Lepisosteus oculatus: one gene and its partner. The protein of the gene in region 1 purifies or fractionates together with the protein of each later gene. This does not show direct contact. Links are inferred from orthologs where the notes say so. Each region holds a gene or a part of one and is shown in the gene's direction. Other genes may lie near its edges.

The links. Proteins that work in one complex are often made in the same cells at the same time.
Region 2: the proteins of fxr1 (region 1) and cep63 purify together in Homo sapiens (co-immunoprecipitation; 3 studies listed by BioGRID and IntAct, with this or other methods). This does not show direct contact. The link is inferred for Lepisosteus oculatus from reciprocal best matches to the Homo sapiens genes FXR1 and CEP63.

What each region holds. Positions count from the first base shown.
Region 1 is NC_090708.1:169,667-176,919, forward strand, and holds the start of fxr1 (RNA-binding protein FXR1), read left to right. Parts: upstream 1-4,232; 5' UTR 4,233-4,290; coding exon 4,291-4,341; intron 4,342-7,088; coding exon 7,089-7,141; intron 7,142-7,253. UniProt on the Homo sapiens protein: mRNA-binding protein that acts as a regulator of mRNAs translation and/or stability, and which is required for various processes, such as neurogenesis, muscle development and spermatogenesis.
Region 2 is NC_090708.1:10,044,950-10,052,669, forward strand, and holds the start of cep63 (centrosomal protein of 63 kDa), read left to right. Parts: upstream 1-4,709; 5' UTR 4,710-4,996; intron 4,997-5,092; 5' UTR 5,093-5,131; intron 5,132-5,399; 5' UTR 5,400-5,423; coding exon 5,424-5,464; intron 5,465-5,644; coding exon 5,645-5,900; intron 5,901-6,832; coding exon 6,833-6,928; intron 6,929-7,197; coding exon 7,198-7,320; intron 7,321-7,720. Other genes in the region: smx5, read right to left, coding at 659-726, 1,719-1,721. UniProt on the Homo sapiens protein: Required for normal spindle assembly.

The sequences.
Region 1 (7,253 bases):
GTGTGCTCCACTAAGCAAGCTGATATAAGAGCCCAGATTTAAAAGGTATTATTGTTGGTGCATTACTAAGGGCAGGGGCAGACCTGGCTCACGTTTCAGTTCAGATAGCCTCAAAGCTGACTGGGGTTGAAAGATAGAAAACAGCCAGGCCTGCAAGAAGCCACTGAACCAAACAGATAGTTAGCAGTGTTAACATCTTGAGAAAAGACCACAGAGTGCAAGTGCTACCATATTAGTAGGGGCATATGAAAGTATGTAGAAGACTTTATTAAGTGATGTGTCACACTTACAATTGCCACTGTTAAGACTATTCTCTGGTTTTATAGCACTTCACTATTTGTTTGTTTAAAGTATGTTTATGCTCAGAGGCATTAAGATGCTATAAGTTACAATACTCACTAATGAGTTTTTAAATTATCTTATATTTAACAGTAATGTATTCCATGGTGTACTATTTAGTGAGGAACTGTGAATGACACCTCTGCTGTGCTTTAAAAACTTTTAAGTTATTAGAAGAAACTGAAGTAACAAAATATGCACCTTCCTCAGTTGCACAGCGTCTTCAGTAGAAAGAGGACCCATTAGGCTGTCCCTGACTCCTAAAGCACAATGGAATTTGAGAGAAGCAGATTTACCATTAATAGGCATAAGATGCTGCATTAACAAAGTCTTCACACTCACTGGTTGTAAAGTACTGACTTTATTCCAATAAATCAAGGAAAAAAAGAAAGTACATCATTTTACTATTAAAATTGACAACAGTGTTTGAATTTTAAGATATTGCTATGGCAATAATACTTAATAAGTCTGAAATCCATAATCTAAACACAAGATGCATTTAACTAAATTTGCTTTTCACTGCTCTCAGATATGGTTTTTATATTTTATATTTACCTGCAGTCCAGTAATCACTTAGAGGTTATTATTTTTTAGTTAATGTAAACATAATTAATAATAGTAAAATCTTTTTTATTTTTTTTTGTATCCTATATAAACTAATTTTGACACGGGTTTTCTAAGATCATAAAGCATTCACAGACCGGTGTTGGAATAATTTGACCATTTAATCACGTTAGCTGAATTCCGCTGTAATATTTACCATGCACGACAGGTGGCAGCACTTCCATTCGCTTTTGTGTTTGTCGGCGCAATAATAATCGTTAAAGAACGTGAAAGCACCTGAATAAAAAATAATAATGTATATTCCATTAAACTTGTTTTATTCGATCATATTTACAATAAAATTAGGACATATAATAAGTTCCCCGGTGTTCCATTTATCAATCGCAACGTCTTTGAAAAACTAATCTCCTAAAATGATGTAAAAAGAAAAATCATCATATCGCATGTACAGGAACGGGTAAAGGTTTATTCCACGCTGAATGGAAAGAAAAGAAACAGAACTTTCCGGCTGTGGAGCATTCTTCAGGTTTGTAATTATTTATACAGGTATTATATACACAGAACAGTGCAGTGCTATACTGTGTAGTCCTGTAGTATTCAGTTTGTACTATGCTAAAGTGTACCGTAAGCTGTACGGTGAGTATACAGTACATACTGCGTAGTACTGTGCTGTGTGGTGTATATAGTACTTGTTCAGTGTTATAATAAGTATTTATTGTACTGTACATGGATGTACTCTGTATGTACAGTACATCGTGCAGTACTGTACAGTATTGTGGGTATATTTCTTTGTGAAGACTGCATTGTGCATTGTTGTACTGTATGTATATGCACTGTGCGGAGATTTACTCTGAGAAGTGTTTTACTTTGTGCATACACATTGAACAGTGAGGTATGCTGTGCAGTTTTTTACTGTGAATATACTGTACATTGCATATTGTTGTACTGTGTAGATATACTGTGCAGTGATGTGCAGCCATTTTCATTACACAGTGCGAAAAGGTACACAAGTGTTGTAGTGTGTGTTTACGTACTGTGCAGTAATGTACTGTGTCTATATATACACTAAGCAGTGATGTACTCTATACAGTGTTGTTCTGTGTGTATAAAGCATGCTGTGTAGTGTTATAAAGTGTGCAGTGTTTTACTATCTGTATACATGCTGTTTAGTAATGTACTGTGTGTTTATATACTGTGCAGTGATGTACTGTGTATATACAGTACAGTGCAGTCCGTAAATATCTGGATAGTGAAACGTTTTTTGTTGTTTTGGCTCTGTACTCCAGTACATTGGATTTTGTTAAAGTGCAGAATGTCAGCTTTAATTTGAGGGTATTTAAGTCTATATTGGGTGAACCACATAGGAATCACAGTCCTTTTTATACATACTCCCCCCATTTTAGGGGACCAAAAGTAATTGGACACATTAACATAATCTTAAAATTGTCATGTTTAGTACTTCGTTCCAAATCCTTTGCAATCGATGACTGCCTGAAGTCTGCAAGCCACAGACATCAGCAGACACATGGTTTCTTCCCTGGTGATGCTCTGCCAAGCCTGTAATGCAGCCATTTTCAGTTTCTGCTTGTTTTTTGCCTTCAGTCACGTCTTCAATAAGTGAAATGCAGGCTCAATGGGATTCAGGTCAGGTGATTGACTTGGCCAGTCGAGAACATTCCACTTTTTGGCCCTGAAAAACTCCATAGTTGCTTTAGCAGGATGTTTGGAGTCATTGTCCTGCTGCAAGGTGAAATGCCGTCCAATGAGGTTTGAGGCATTTGGTTGGATCTGAGCAAATAAGATCCCTCTGTACACTTCAGAATTCATCCTGCTGCTGCTGTCTGCAGTCACATCATCAATAAAGACAAGTGAGCCAGGTCCACTGGCAGCCATACGGTACATGCCCAACCCATGACACTACCTTCATGTTTCACAGATGAGGTGGTATGAGCAGATCCTTTTTTTCTCCACACTTATTTCCTTCACTCTGGTACAGGTTAATCTTCGTCTAGACTGTGTAAGACTGTGTCCCAGAACTCTACTGACTTTATTATTTGCATTTTAGCAAACTGTAACCTGGCCTTTCTGTTCTTGAAGCTTACAGTGGATTGCATCTTGTGAACCCTCTGAGGTTATGCTGGTGTATTTTTCTCTTTATGGTATAGTCTTTGACACATCCATGCCTACATCCTGGAGGGTGTTCCTGATCTGTTCAATGGTCGAAAAGGGTTTTTTCTTTACAATTGAAAGTCTTCTTCAGCCATCCACTACTGTGGTCTTCTGTGGTCTACCAGGTCATTTGCTAAGCTCACCAGTGCGTTCTTGCTTCTTAATGTACTAGATGAGTTTGACACACCTAATGTCTGGGCTATGTCTCCGATTGATTTATTCTGATTTTTCAGCCACATGATGGTCAACTTCACTGGCATTGACACTTCTTTGGTCCTCTTTTGCATCTGGAGCAACAGACTCCAGATGCAAATGCCACATCTAGAATTAACTCTAGACCCTTTTTCAGCTCTCTTGTGCATGAACTAACATTGCAATGACACACGGCTGGCCAAGAAACAACTGAGCAGCTAATTGTCCAATTACTTTTGGTCCCCTAAAATGGCGGGGCTTATGTACTGTATAAAAAGGACTGTGATTCCTATGTGGTTCACCCAATATAGATGTAAATAGTCTATAATAGTATATAGTAATAGTGGTGTACTCTGTGCAGTGATGTACTGTGTGTGTGCATGCTGTGCAGTGGTGTACTCTTTGCAGTGATGTACTGTGTGTATACATGATTGCAGTGATGTACTGTGTGTATACGTGCTTGCAGTGGTGTGCTCTGTGCAGTGATGTACTGTGTGTATACATGTTGAGCAGCGTTGTACTCTCTGCAGTGATGTACTGTGTGTTTACATTCTGTGCAGTAATGTACTGTGTGTATACATGCTTGCAGTGGTGTACTCTGTGCAGTGATGTACTGTGTGTGTACATGCTGTGCAATGATGTGCTCTGTGCAGTGATGTACTGTGTGTGTGCATGCTGTGCAGTGGTGTACTCTGTGCAGTGATGTACTGTGTGTATACGTGCTTGCAGTGGTGTGCTCTGTGCAGTGATGTACTGTGTGTATACATGATTGCAGTGATGTACTGTGTGTATACGTGCTTGCAGTGGTGTGCTCTGTGCAGTGATGTACTGTGTGTATACATGATTGCAGTGATGTACTGTGTGTGTACATGCTGTGCAATGATGTGCTCTGTGCAGTTATGTACTGTGTGTATACATGTTGTGCAGTGATGTGCTCCGTATGTACACTCCACTCTGCAGACGCACGGTGCTCTGTGACGGTGTAAGTTTCTAGAATGCTTTCCCAGAGTACATTGCGTGGCCAATATGGAGGAACTGACGGTAGAAGTCCGTGGCTCCAACGGAGCTTATTACAAGGTAAAAACATTCAAATCATTCCGATAAAATAAATTATCTAAAAAGGAGAAGAAAGCTTTGTGTACGGAAATGTACAGGTTGTTTTCACGGGATTGTTCTTGCTAAATAAATCTGTAAGAAAGTGCCTTTGACGAGGACACAAAAATGTCTGATCTTTTGTCAGTTACATTATGATTTATTTACATACTCACGTATATATGCATTTTTATATTCTAGAGTTTGATAACCCATATTATGTATTCAGTCTGGAGATATATATTTGTAAACTTAAATATTTGAACTTTTTTGGACTGATATATTCTTTCCCTTGTTAATACAGGCCTATCTCAGGTGTTATTTAATAAGGATTAATATTGTTCGTTATATTGTTACGTTATTCATGTTGACAAGATCTTTGATGTTTTAATGGTGGGCATAGTTTTTAATATTTTATACAAAATGAGTGGAACACGATCAGCAGTCACTGTGGGATTTGTAAGTACTGAATCCGTTGACTTGCTCAGCCTGGAGGTCTGGTGAGTTTAAGAGAAGTTTTATAAAAGTGCAGGAAGATTCAAATGTGTTGAGAGACGCACCTGAAGCGTCCGTGTATCTCATTCCCTTCATTTGCACGATGATGGGAAAAGGACATTTCCATTCCTTTGTTCCATTAGTCTTGTTAATATGCCAAAGTCTACTAAACAGTAGCTGTCAATAACGTAACTATATTTTTGTTTTTATAATCCAGCTCTTAGATGTGCCGAATCTTTTTAATAAGGGCCTTTTCGTATTTCTGAAATAAAGCGTGACAGGTCTAACGACTGATATGTGTTTAGGTTGGGTCTAACTGTTGTTAGGGGAACTGATTATGATAAGCACTTGAAGCAGAAGAACCCGTTCTGATTCTAATACAAAGGAATCTCCCTTGTCGTAAGAATGGAAGTTGAAGGGAATGTCATTTACTGCACACTGGGGGTGGTGGAGGGGATCCCCATTACCTGTAAAGCAGTTTGAGTGGAGTGTCCAGAAAAGCGCTATATAAGTGTAAGCAATTATTTAAGATTGGAGGCCTGGTTTATAAAATATGTGGCACTGCATGCAGTTAAATTCACTGAAGAGTTTGTCTTTATGTGACTTGAAAACTATCTCCTGTGTTCATATGAAAATGCAGTGTTTAGTTTAGCGGTGTCTTTGATTGTGAGCTCTCTGTTTGCTTCTTCTGCATGTCATTTCACTGTTGCGTTTGACTTGCATCACTTTTGTATCTTATATGTAACAAGTAGATTATTGTACTGTCGACTCCTTAAAAAAATCAGGCTTATACTCTAAATGTAATACTTTGTGCCTTTTACATTTCTTAATTTCCTTTTCCTTTTTAATTTTGTTGTACATAAGCACTAAGATGTGTGATTACTAGATGTTTAGGTATTGACAGCTGTTACTGTCTGTTGAACTAACTTGTTCAGTCCATGGTAGGAAAATACATCTGTTAATAGTATTAAGTAGTTATTGTATCATGCTGAAGTTATTCCTAGAATGTCACTCAATCCCAGAGCAATATGTGGTCTGACAGCTGTTCACTGTCAATCTTGAGCTGTTGTCAGGTTCAAAGGATAACTTGGAACTCTGAGCTATATTTAAAACATGGGCTTACACATAGCTAGTTATGCAAAAGACAGATGCTTTTTACTAAACGCAAATATTTCTGTTATGTTTTCTTTTTTTAACTTTCTGTAGGTAAAGTAATGACTTATTACAGTATGACTTAAACAATATCTGAATATAGTGAAAAAAACAGCAGTTTATGTAGTTTCAAAGTAGAACATTTTCACAATCAGATTATTATAAAATATAATGTAATGTATAATATAATTATATAATGTAATATCATGTAGTGCTTACATAAGTAAAATAAAAAAGCTATGACAGATGGAAAAGAAAAAAATAGTTTTTGGAGAGAATTAATGAGAAGAGTTTAGTGGTGTTAGTCTCTGGAATTTGTCCTTTAGCAGTCATGCTGTTAACCAGCACCACTTTGCCCTTTGTACTTGTGTGGGTATGCAAATCCTTCTCTAACACAAAGCAAAAGCATCTCTTAAGTATCTCATTAAATGATGTGATTCTTGTTTCATGTAAAATATGTTTCTTCTATTGAAGAAAATGATAAACTGTTGTCAACAGTAGATATGTGATTTCAGACATTTGTTTCTTCATGTATTCTATTTAGACATTTACATAACATCTGTACAGGCTCCTTTCTCCAGTGTTGTAATGAAATATGTTTAAACACATTTTTATAATGCTTTTTGTGCTGCCTTAGAGAACCATCTATAAACACATTGGTTTAGAAGGTTGACATAATTGGAAAAACTGTCAAGGAACTGGATCTAAACTGTCATTTACTTCAGTAGTGTACAGCAGTGGTCTTTAATTCTGTTCCTTAGAGTCTACTATGGGGGATTTTGGTAAGGTTATTGAACTAATTATACATTTAACTGGGTCAGTTTTAGTTTTAAGGTCTAAGACAAATAATGAGTTTAAATAATGAGTTTGTCTGCTTTTTCCAAGGCGTTTAAAAAGTTTGTTTAAAAAGTATTAATATCAGTTAACTTTAAACATCAAATGTAAACACATTCTATTACATTTTGTACATTAAAATAGTATTGCGTGGGTATGCACATTGGATGACTAACAATAACTGAAGGCAGTTAGGATAAATCTGGAAAATGTCATTAAGATGTAACTTGAATTCCTTACTTATGTTTTAGGGATTTGTCAAAGATGTCCATGATGACTCACTTACCATTGTCTTTGAAAATAAGTAAGTATTTTAACAGTAATTTCGTGTTGGGTTTAAAAAAAAAATCATAACCAAGCTGCTTTGGGAAGAATTCAAGACAGGAAGCTCAGGATTGATCAAGCTGGAAGTGGCT
Region 2 (7,720 bases), about 9.9 Mb from region 1:
TGGGCTCCATAAAAAAATGCTTAAAGGTTTTTTCCTTGTGACTTCATCTTACACTGTTTAACAAAAATGTTGCTATGGATTATGGAACATAAGCTAATTTAATTGCTGTACTGCATCAAGTTCATACTGCCATTGTTGAACTATTTTGTGTTTGGTGGTTTGCTAACACATTTGAAAGCGCTGTCTTAATAAAAACCTTAATATACATTCTAAGCATTCATTGACATTGGAATCGTCTTTTGTATTTCTGATATAACCACCTCATTCCTTCAGGTCTTTATGAATGCTGCCCTTTAGTATTTTAACTTTCTGCTCTGACACACCTATAAGGAGGTACAAACAATATTGTACCTGGACCTTGCTTTCTCTTTTTTTAAATGGATATGATGTGCTGTTATCTTCTGTCATTTTATTCTAGACATTAAGAGATCTTAGTTAAATTCATTGGAGATAACAGGCCAGTGTAAACCCACTATGACAGAGGAGGCCGATCACAGTCCTGCAAGGCCAGTGGATGTACAGGCTTTCGTTCCAGCTTGGCTCTCATCCTGAACAATAAACTCCTCCACTTCCGGAAACTGAGGCAAAACCTTGTTTACAAATTCACCGACTGCCACAACTTCGAAATTCTCTTTCTTTTGGCCAGTGCGGCCCTCACCTTAAATCATTTTTCAGCTCCACCACGACGTCCTTCCCCACAAGGGACTTAAAAAACGAGTAGAATAACTGCAGAGGGAAAGAAAAGGATTGTGAAACCCCCTGCCAGCAATCCTGGCCAAATCACATGAGAATCTACACGGGGTCACTACAAAAAAAGGCAGACTTGGAATTGTGTCTGTAAGAACATCAGTAATACTTTTGAAACATGCCTGGGATAGCACATTAATATCGTGTGATTCTTGCTGTAAACAACACAATTCCAGAATTTCCTTCAGTAAAGGTACCAAAAAGACTACGGGAAAGCAAGAGACGGTCTGGAATAAGTCTGATTTGCAGATACTGCACCGATCAAGCTCGAAATTGAATAACAAGAAGCTGGGCGTTTAAGATGCCTTTCGGGGCAACCTGTTCGGCTCAGCATCTTTCCCTAGAGCACTAAACTAGGCCTTGCCTATCCCAAACCCATGTCCTCAGCGTCTACACTTTTCGTTAGAGATGGGCTCTCCGGCGCTTTACTTAATGAATCATACCTACCGTGTACGGGCGCTAAAAGTTCGCAAATTTTAAGTTACTAATAACAGTTAAGCTAGTAATAGTAACAGTTCAACTGGAATATTCAACAGAGCGAAAAACGTGATCATAGTTTAAATAGCTCAAGTTATTAAAAAAAAAAGCGGAATCGGAATCACCAAGAAACATCCGCGACACACAGACCCTTCGAAACACGTAACGAGCATCTACTTAAAACAAAGCTTTCCTGCGGATTAGACGCACATCCAGCTGCAAAGAGAGGTGAATGCAAACCGTACGGCTGTTCAAAAAACAAGATTTAGCTTTATTACAATGCTCTTTCAAATTTGAATTGGTTGCCAATGGATTAAAGAAATTAATTCTGGTATTTTTTAAAGATATTTTGACGAAACGTTTGAGTAATTTTAATCTCGTCACGGTGCCGGTAGTCAAAACCATTTTCAGAAATTAATTTCTGATAGTGAAAAGAAATGTACACAGAAAGCATTAAAAACTGTTCTCAAAATTGAACAGAAAAGGGATCTCACCATTTTCACTCACACTCGACCCCCACTGCGCCTTTACTCTCCGTTTACATCCCAACGAGAACGGGATTAGAAGTCCTACTCACCCATTGGAGCAACTTCTTTGACGTCATAAAAATGAGCCGAAATGATATTCACCAATCAGCTTTGTCCGCTGGGCGACACGTGGTATAACCATAGAGTTTATGGAAGAAAGAGTAATATTTTATTATCACATGCAGATTGCATCGCCATATTGGTAGAGAGGATACAGGAATTGTGTATTTTCGAAGGGACCTACACACGAAGAATTATATCAGGAAGCTTTCAACAAAAGGCTTTAACTATTATGTCAAAAAGTTACCAAAATAAGTTCTTAGTTATTTTAGGTGTAGTTAATTTTGTTACTGTTATCTGTATCAGTAACTGCAGTGGTTTGTTAACCATTAATAGTCTCTGTAATTAAAGACATGCATAACATTTGAAAATTGAAAACATAAATCACGTTTGCTTTATTGTTTATAAAATATCGCTTCTATTTAGCTTAAAATCAAATCAATACATTTAAGGTAACGAAGATGTATTTAGTATATGTACTAGAACAAAAATGTATTTTTTTCTGTGCATTTTTAACCATAAAAATATTTTTTATTTTCCCACAAATATAAAATATAAAATACACAGTAAAACCTACAACTGTGTTGGTGTTTGTGCTGTGTTCTGTAATGATTTAGACCCTTTTGGAATACGAAGGGAATATTGTTATAGGTTGAGATTTTCTGCTGCTCTGCCCTCTATTGATGAAAATATATACGTATCGGTGTTTCTTAGTTAAAATGAAAAAAATCAGTTTGGTCATTCCAGTTCTAGTTCTAGTTAGAATACCTGTTGCTGATATTATTTCTGGCGATTTTGTTATTCTGAGAAGTGTTTTCACTTAATTTCACTTATTCTTTATTTAACGTTATTGGCTTTACGTCATTATTATCGGTGCTACTTTTTTGGAATATGAGAGTCACTCATTTAATTAAGGTCGGAAAACCATTCAAAACACAGTAAACAAAATGGGGCTCGTCCGGGATTCGAACCCGGGACCTCTCGCACCCAAAGCGAGAATCATACCCCTAGACCAACGAGCCCGCTAGCGCATATGTTTCTAGAAAGCCACATATAAAATAAAATACGTTAGGTGTAAATTAATGGGGCCCAAATGATTGCACAAGATTAAAACACCATGCATGGTACCATAATAATCCACATTTCATTCATATTAAAACAACAATTAGATTGAGTTATACTGCATAATTGCAGTGGAAGTCTCTATAATTTATGGCACTAAAACGTTTGCAGGTAAATCGAGAGTCACCAATAAAAAAGTGAGCCGCAAAGCGTTTAGCAGCCGAAAGGACGGAAACAAAACATCAATCGCTGCATCAAAAGCCTACATCAGCGCTTTGCTTTTTATCTGAAGACATTATAACGTCTTGAACGTATGAATTATGACTTATACCACCATGAGTATTCTAAATTAATTATGACTGAGAAATAATCTTTGCTCTAAATGACTGTGTATTACGTGTCGGCATATCGGAGCTTTTACGTTACCATAATGGCTAGGCTGTTTGCCTTAAAAAAAAAAACAAGCATAACAGAGCAGAAAAGAAGAGAAGGCTGTGAGGCTTGTTTTCCAGGCGGGATCGCCACTGTGCAACCAGATACGATCTAATGCATGATATAGCAGCTATTAAACTCCTTAATGATAGCAGCAGCTAATAAACTCTTGTATCCTTGTTTTTACAGAAGTCACTAGAGTTTGAAATAACCCATTTTGCCCAAACTGCCAGGGTTCTTGAAAAACCGTCCAGACGAGACTCCGGGATCAATCGACTGCTTGCAGACGCAGCTGGGCCTGGCCAGTACTGAGGTGGGATAACTGCGATCTGTGGTGTTCCGTGAACCAGTGGGCTGGGGTGGTGGCACCCTCTTCCCTCCGGACCACAAGATCCACATCCACGTCCCAGTATGATGAAAGGGGACACGGTACACTATCCGGTGGCATGCTTAGGATGAAAATAAACAAGTGAAGGTTTATTCCGTGCTGAAAAGAAAAGAAACACAACCTTTCGGCTGTGGGGCCTTCTTCAGGTGTGCGTGGATGCTTAGGATGAGACAATACACGTCTTAATGTCTTTTTATTGCACATCCCATGCCTCTGTTCGTAAGACAGTGTCCTGTCTGAATTTAAATATCGAACTCGTACGGTCTTTCCTGCACAGGTAGGATGATGCCTTCTATTTGCACAGGAGCTTCAACAATGGATACTGACATGGGTCCCCTCCTACATTTAAAGTGCTATATACCCACAAGGGATGGTTTTTATTTAAACCCGATGCCTACTTTTCATGTTTTCAAAAGTTGGGCTCGTCCGGGATTTGAACCCGGGACCTCTCGCACCCGAAGCGAGAATCATACCCCTAGACCAACGAGCCACACGATGTCCTTCCTCCACTGCATGTATATTTTTATTTTCTTACGGCTACACTGCACTGATTTTTTTTTTAATCCAATGTAGCCAAAGAATAACATGTTAGGTGTACCAATGCAGACTTATCTAACTGACTGATGAACATTTTAAAACACACTTTTTGATTCTTATGAGTAGCGAAACTACTCGCATACATATGAATTCACACAAGTCCAGTTTATGAATTTAATTCGACATCAGTAAGTATTCGCGTTTATTAGTAGTAGTTGCATAAAACTGGGGCTCGTCCGGGATTTGAACCCGGGACCTCTCGCACCCTAAGCGAGAATCATACCCCTAGACCAACGAGCCTGTACAAACGGCGTTACGTTGCATCCATAAATACTAAACGTACCCTTGTCTAGAATCGCAGGAAACGTATTCGTGGTGAGTTTTTCCAATTTTCGTTTGAGTTATTTTATCCTTCCGGGGCCCGGCAAAAGAGCCCCACTCAAGAGCTTATTGTCTGCTACAGAGGACAGAAATCAGCGGGCGCGACGCTTCCGAGACCCACCATGTTTTCCCATGATGCCTTCTTCGTACAGAGCTGTAAACATTTGAACTCGCCAGAGCTGTTCGGGACTGCGTGTAGCCGGATGGCAAGTTTGAGAGCTAATGGAGAAAGACGATAACGTTTTATTCTGAAGGCATTTTTTTTTAATGAGCACGACACCTTTTGTGAGCTGAGCTTGCGATATCGTAAGGGAGACTGGCGAAAAGAGAGAAGAAGCGGCCCCCTGTATTTTTTTAACCATGGAAACAGCTGGACGCAGTTAAGGTTTGCAGTGTGGGAAGGATGTATTTAAGCATTGGGTTTCCGTCCGTATCGATACCTTTAAATTAATCTCTTTCGTTTTCCTGCGTTTTCTTCCAGACTCTGGTTGTATTTTTGACCTCTCTAAGCGGCAACCAGGTAAGTTTGCTTCTTGGAGAAACATAAGATGTTTTTCATCACCGAGTCTTCTCCAAATCAAATCTTTTCTTCCTGCCCGGCTTTTGCATTTAGAAGAGATATTGTCCTTGCTATTCATCTTCGTACCCCCATTAGACATCCGCTTTAACTTATAAGGGAGTATGTTGCAGTCGGTGTACGTTGGATGGCGTTGTTTTATTTTTTATTTACTTTTTGAATGAATAATACAGTGTTACATTCTTAAGATCATCATGTTTTTATGTGACAGATGCCCTACTGGCATTAATGTGAAATGGAGGCCTTTTGGGGGACGCTACAGGATGAAACTGCAAGGTAGGGGGACTTCACAGTTAGGCTTATCATGTTTCCCTTAGAACTGTTTTTCTCACGCTTAGTGGATGTGGATTTGGAGTTTGTGTTTTGCTCCGCCACTTAACTCCCACCAAAGGCATGTTACGCACACCTGCTTCAGCAGCAGATGGGACAGCTTATGTTTCCACCATTGCTCCCTAGACAAAGAGGGAGTTCAGGCAGAAACCACACGGGCAGGTGCGTGGAGAGGCTGGAATCAGCGTTCTCTCTCCTCCCCAGCGCCATCCTGTCGTCGTGTGAACCGGAGCTCCAGGAGCTGATGCGTCAGATCGACATCATGGTGGCCCACAAGAGGAGCGAGTGGGAGAGCCAGCACCGGGCCCTGCAGGGGCGGCTGCAGGTTCGAGAGGAGGAGCTCCGTTCTGCCAGGGACGCTCTTGAGCACAAGCACAAGGAGGTACTGCCGCAGCTAGTACTTTTGTCAGAAGTGTTTCGCGACAAGCTTCGTATTGGCGTAGTGGACCGGGGGTAGGTAAAGACAAGCTTGGCAATTTTTAGATTTTGCATGGTTGTAGGAAGATACATTTTCAGCTATATAAATGTAAGATTTCATAATCCCCGTTGGGAAATTTCGTCATGGTGAAGACGTGTCAATCCTGTCAGCTTGCCTTACGGGAATACTACTTCATTAGACGAATGGACCTGATTTGCACCTGTGTTCTTGAAGAAAAGTATAGGAGAGTGGAAAAGAGATTGGTGGTCATATCTGTGTTATTTTCGGGGGGGGATGATAAGTTGGTATGGAGAAGTGACAGTCTTTGCTAAAGAGAGAGAGCTTTCACGGTGTGTTTTGTAGATCATTATGACTGACGACGAAATACTCTTTTAAATATTTTTTTATCAAAGAAAATTACATTCTGCTTTCACTCTTGGTCAGTGTTCAGAATCAAGGAAGTCTTTGTTAGATCTTCAGGACAAAACCTTTCAAGTGAACTTTGTAGAGGACATGCTGAAGGCGAGCTGGCATGGAGGTTGTGTTGGAAGGCTTTGCATGCTTGTCATCTGAACGGACTTGGTATGAAAATATCCTATGAAATGAGTGGCAAAAACCTTTTCTCGTTCATATTAAAGCAAAATCGGATTGTTATTTGCCCAGCTATCAGCCAGCCAGAATCAATTACTGGTATTCACGTGAAACTGAGATTCAGCAGATGTTTACGTAAAATCCATGAATTGTATGTAAATGTCTCTGCCAGTATGTGCCTCCTCCTTACATGGCCAGAATGCTTTCCCAGTGCTCCTTACAGCATTAGTATCCCACAGTGAGGTGGAGAATGGGCAATGGAGTCCTCAGAGCGCACCTAGTTACTCTTGTCCATTCCTTCTTAGGTGGGAATGTTCCGACAGCAGCTGCTAGAGGCGCAGAATGAGAAGCAGGAGCTGGTCTCCAAGTACGAGGAGCAGCTGCAGCGAGTTCGAGAAGAGGTGTGTCCCCGCAGGTTTTCTCCGGACATCTGTCGTGAACACTCTGAGGCAGAGCAGAACAGAGGAAAGAAAAGCAAGTAAAAGTTTTACGGTTTGCTGTAGGATACCAGCACAAAGGTTAATTGAATCACTGTGAAGTGCTGCACGTGGCACTCAGTCAGTTACTCGGATACTTGGCAAATGTAAGGGAAGGAACGAACTTGCGCTGGAATCTTGTGAAGCTGTGGATTAGTGTGGTTGAACAGGCGCGTGTCTGAACCTCGCTGCAGTTGTCCAAGCTCAAGCGGAGCTACGAGAAGCTGCAACGCCGGCAGCTGAAGGAGGCCAGAGAAGGAGCCAGGAGCCGAGAAGAAGACAGGACGGAACTGAGCAGATTAAACGGCAAGATAGAGGTGATGTGAAGCTTTGACTCATCTCCACACCACCTTCTGAATTGAGATGGCAATACTGGATCAGTAAATGGATTTGACAGTATTTGGAGTTCTTCAGTTTTACAGTATTAGGGGGCTAATAGTACAACTCACGCTCTTATTTTGTGTCACTGAATGATCTTCCACTTTCCTGTCCTGGGATGAGCAGTGGTACGCTTTGCCACACATCATTGGAAGTTTATACATCTGAACCTAAAAAATAAGTCGATTCCAGAACAAGTTTTTTTTAGTAAAGCAAATGAACTTTCTGTCATATCATTTCCAAAATGTGTGTATTGCACTTAGACGTCTCAGAAGATAGAGTTCAGAATTTTGCCCGTCTGCACTGTGGCCTTTCCTGACTGCCTTTTGTGCTTCTCAG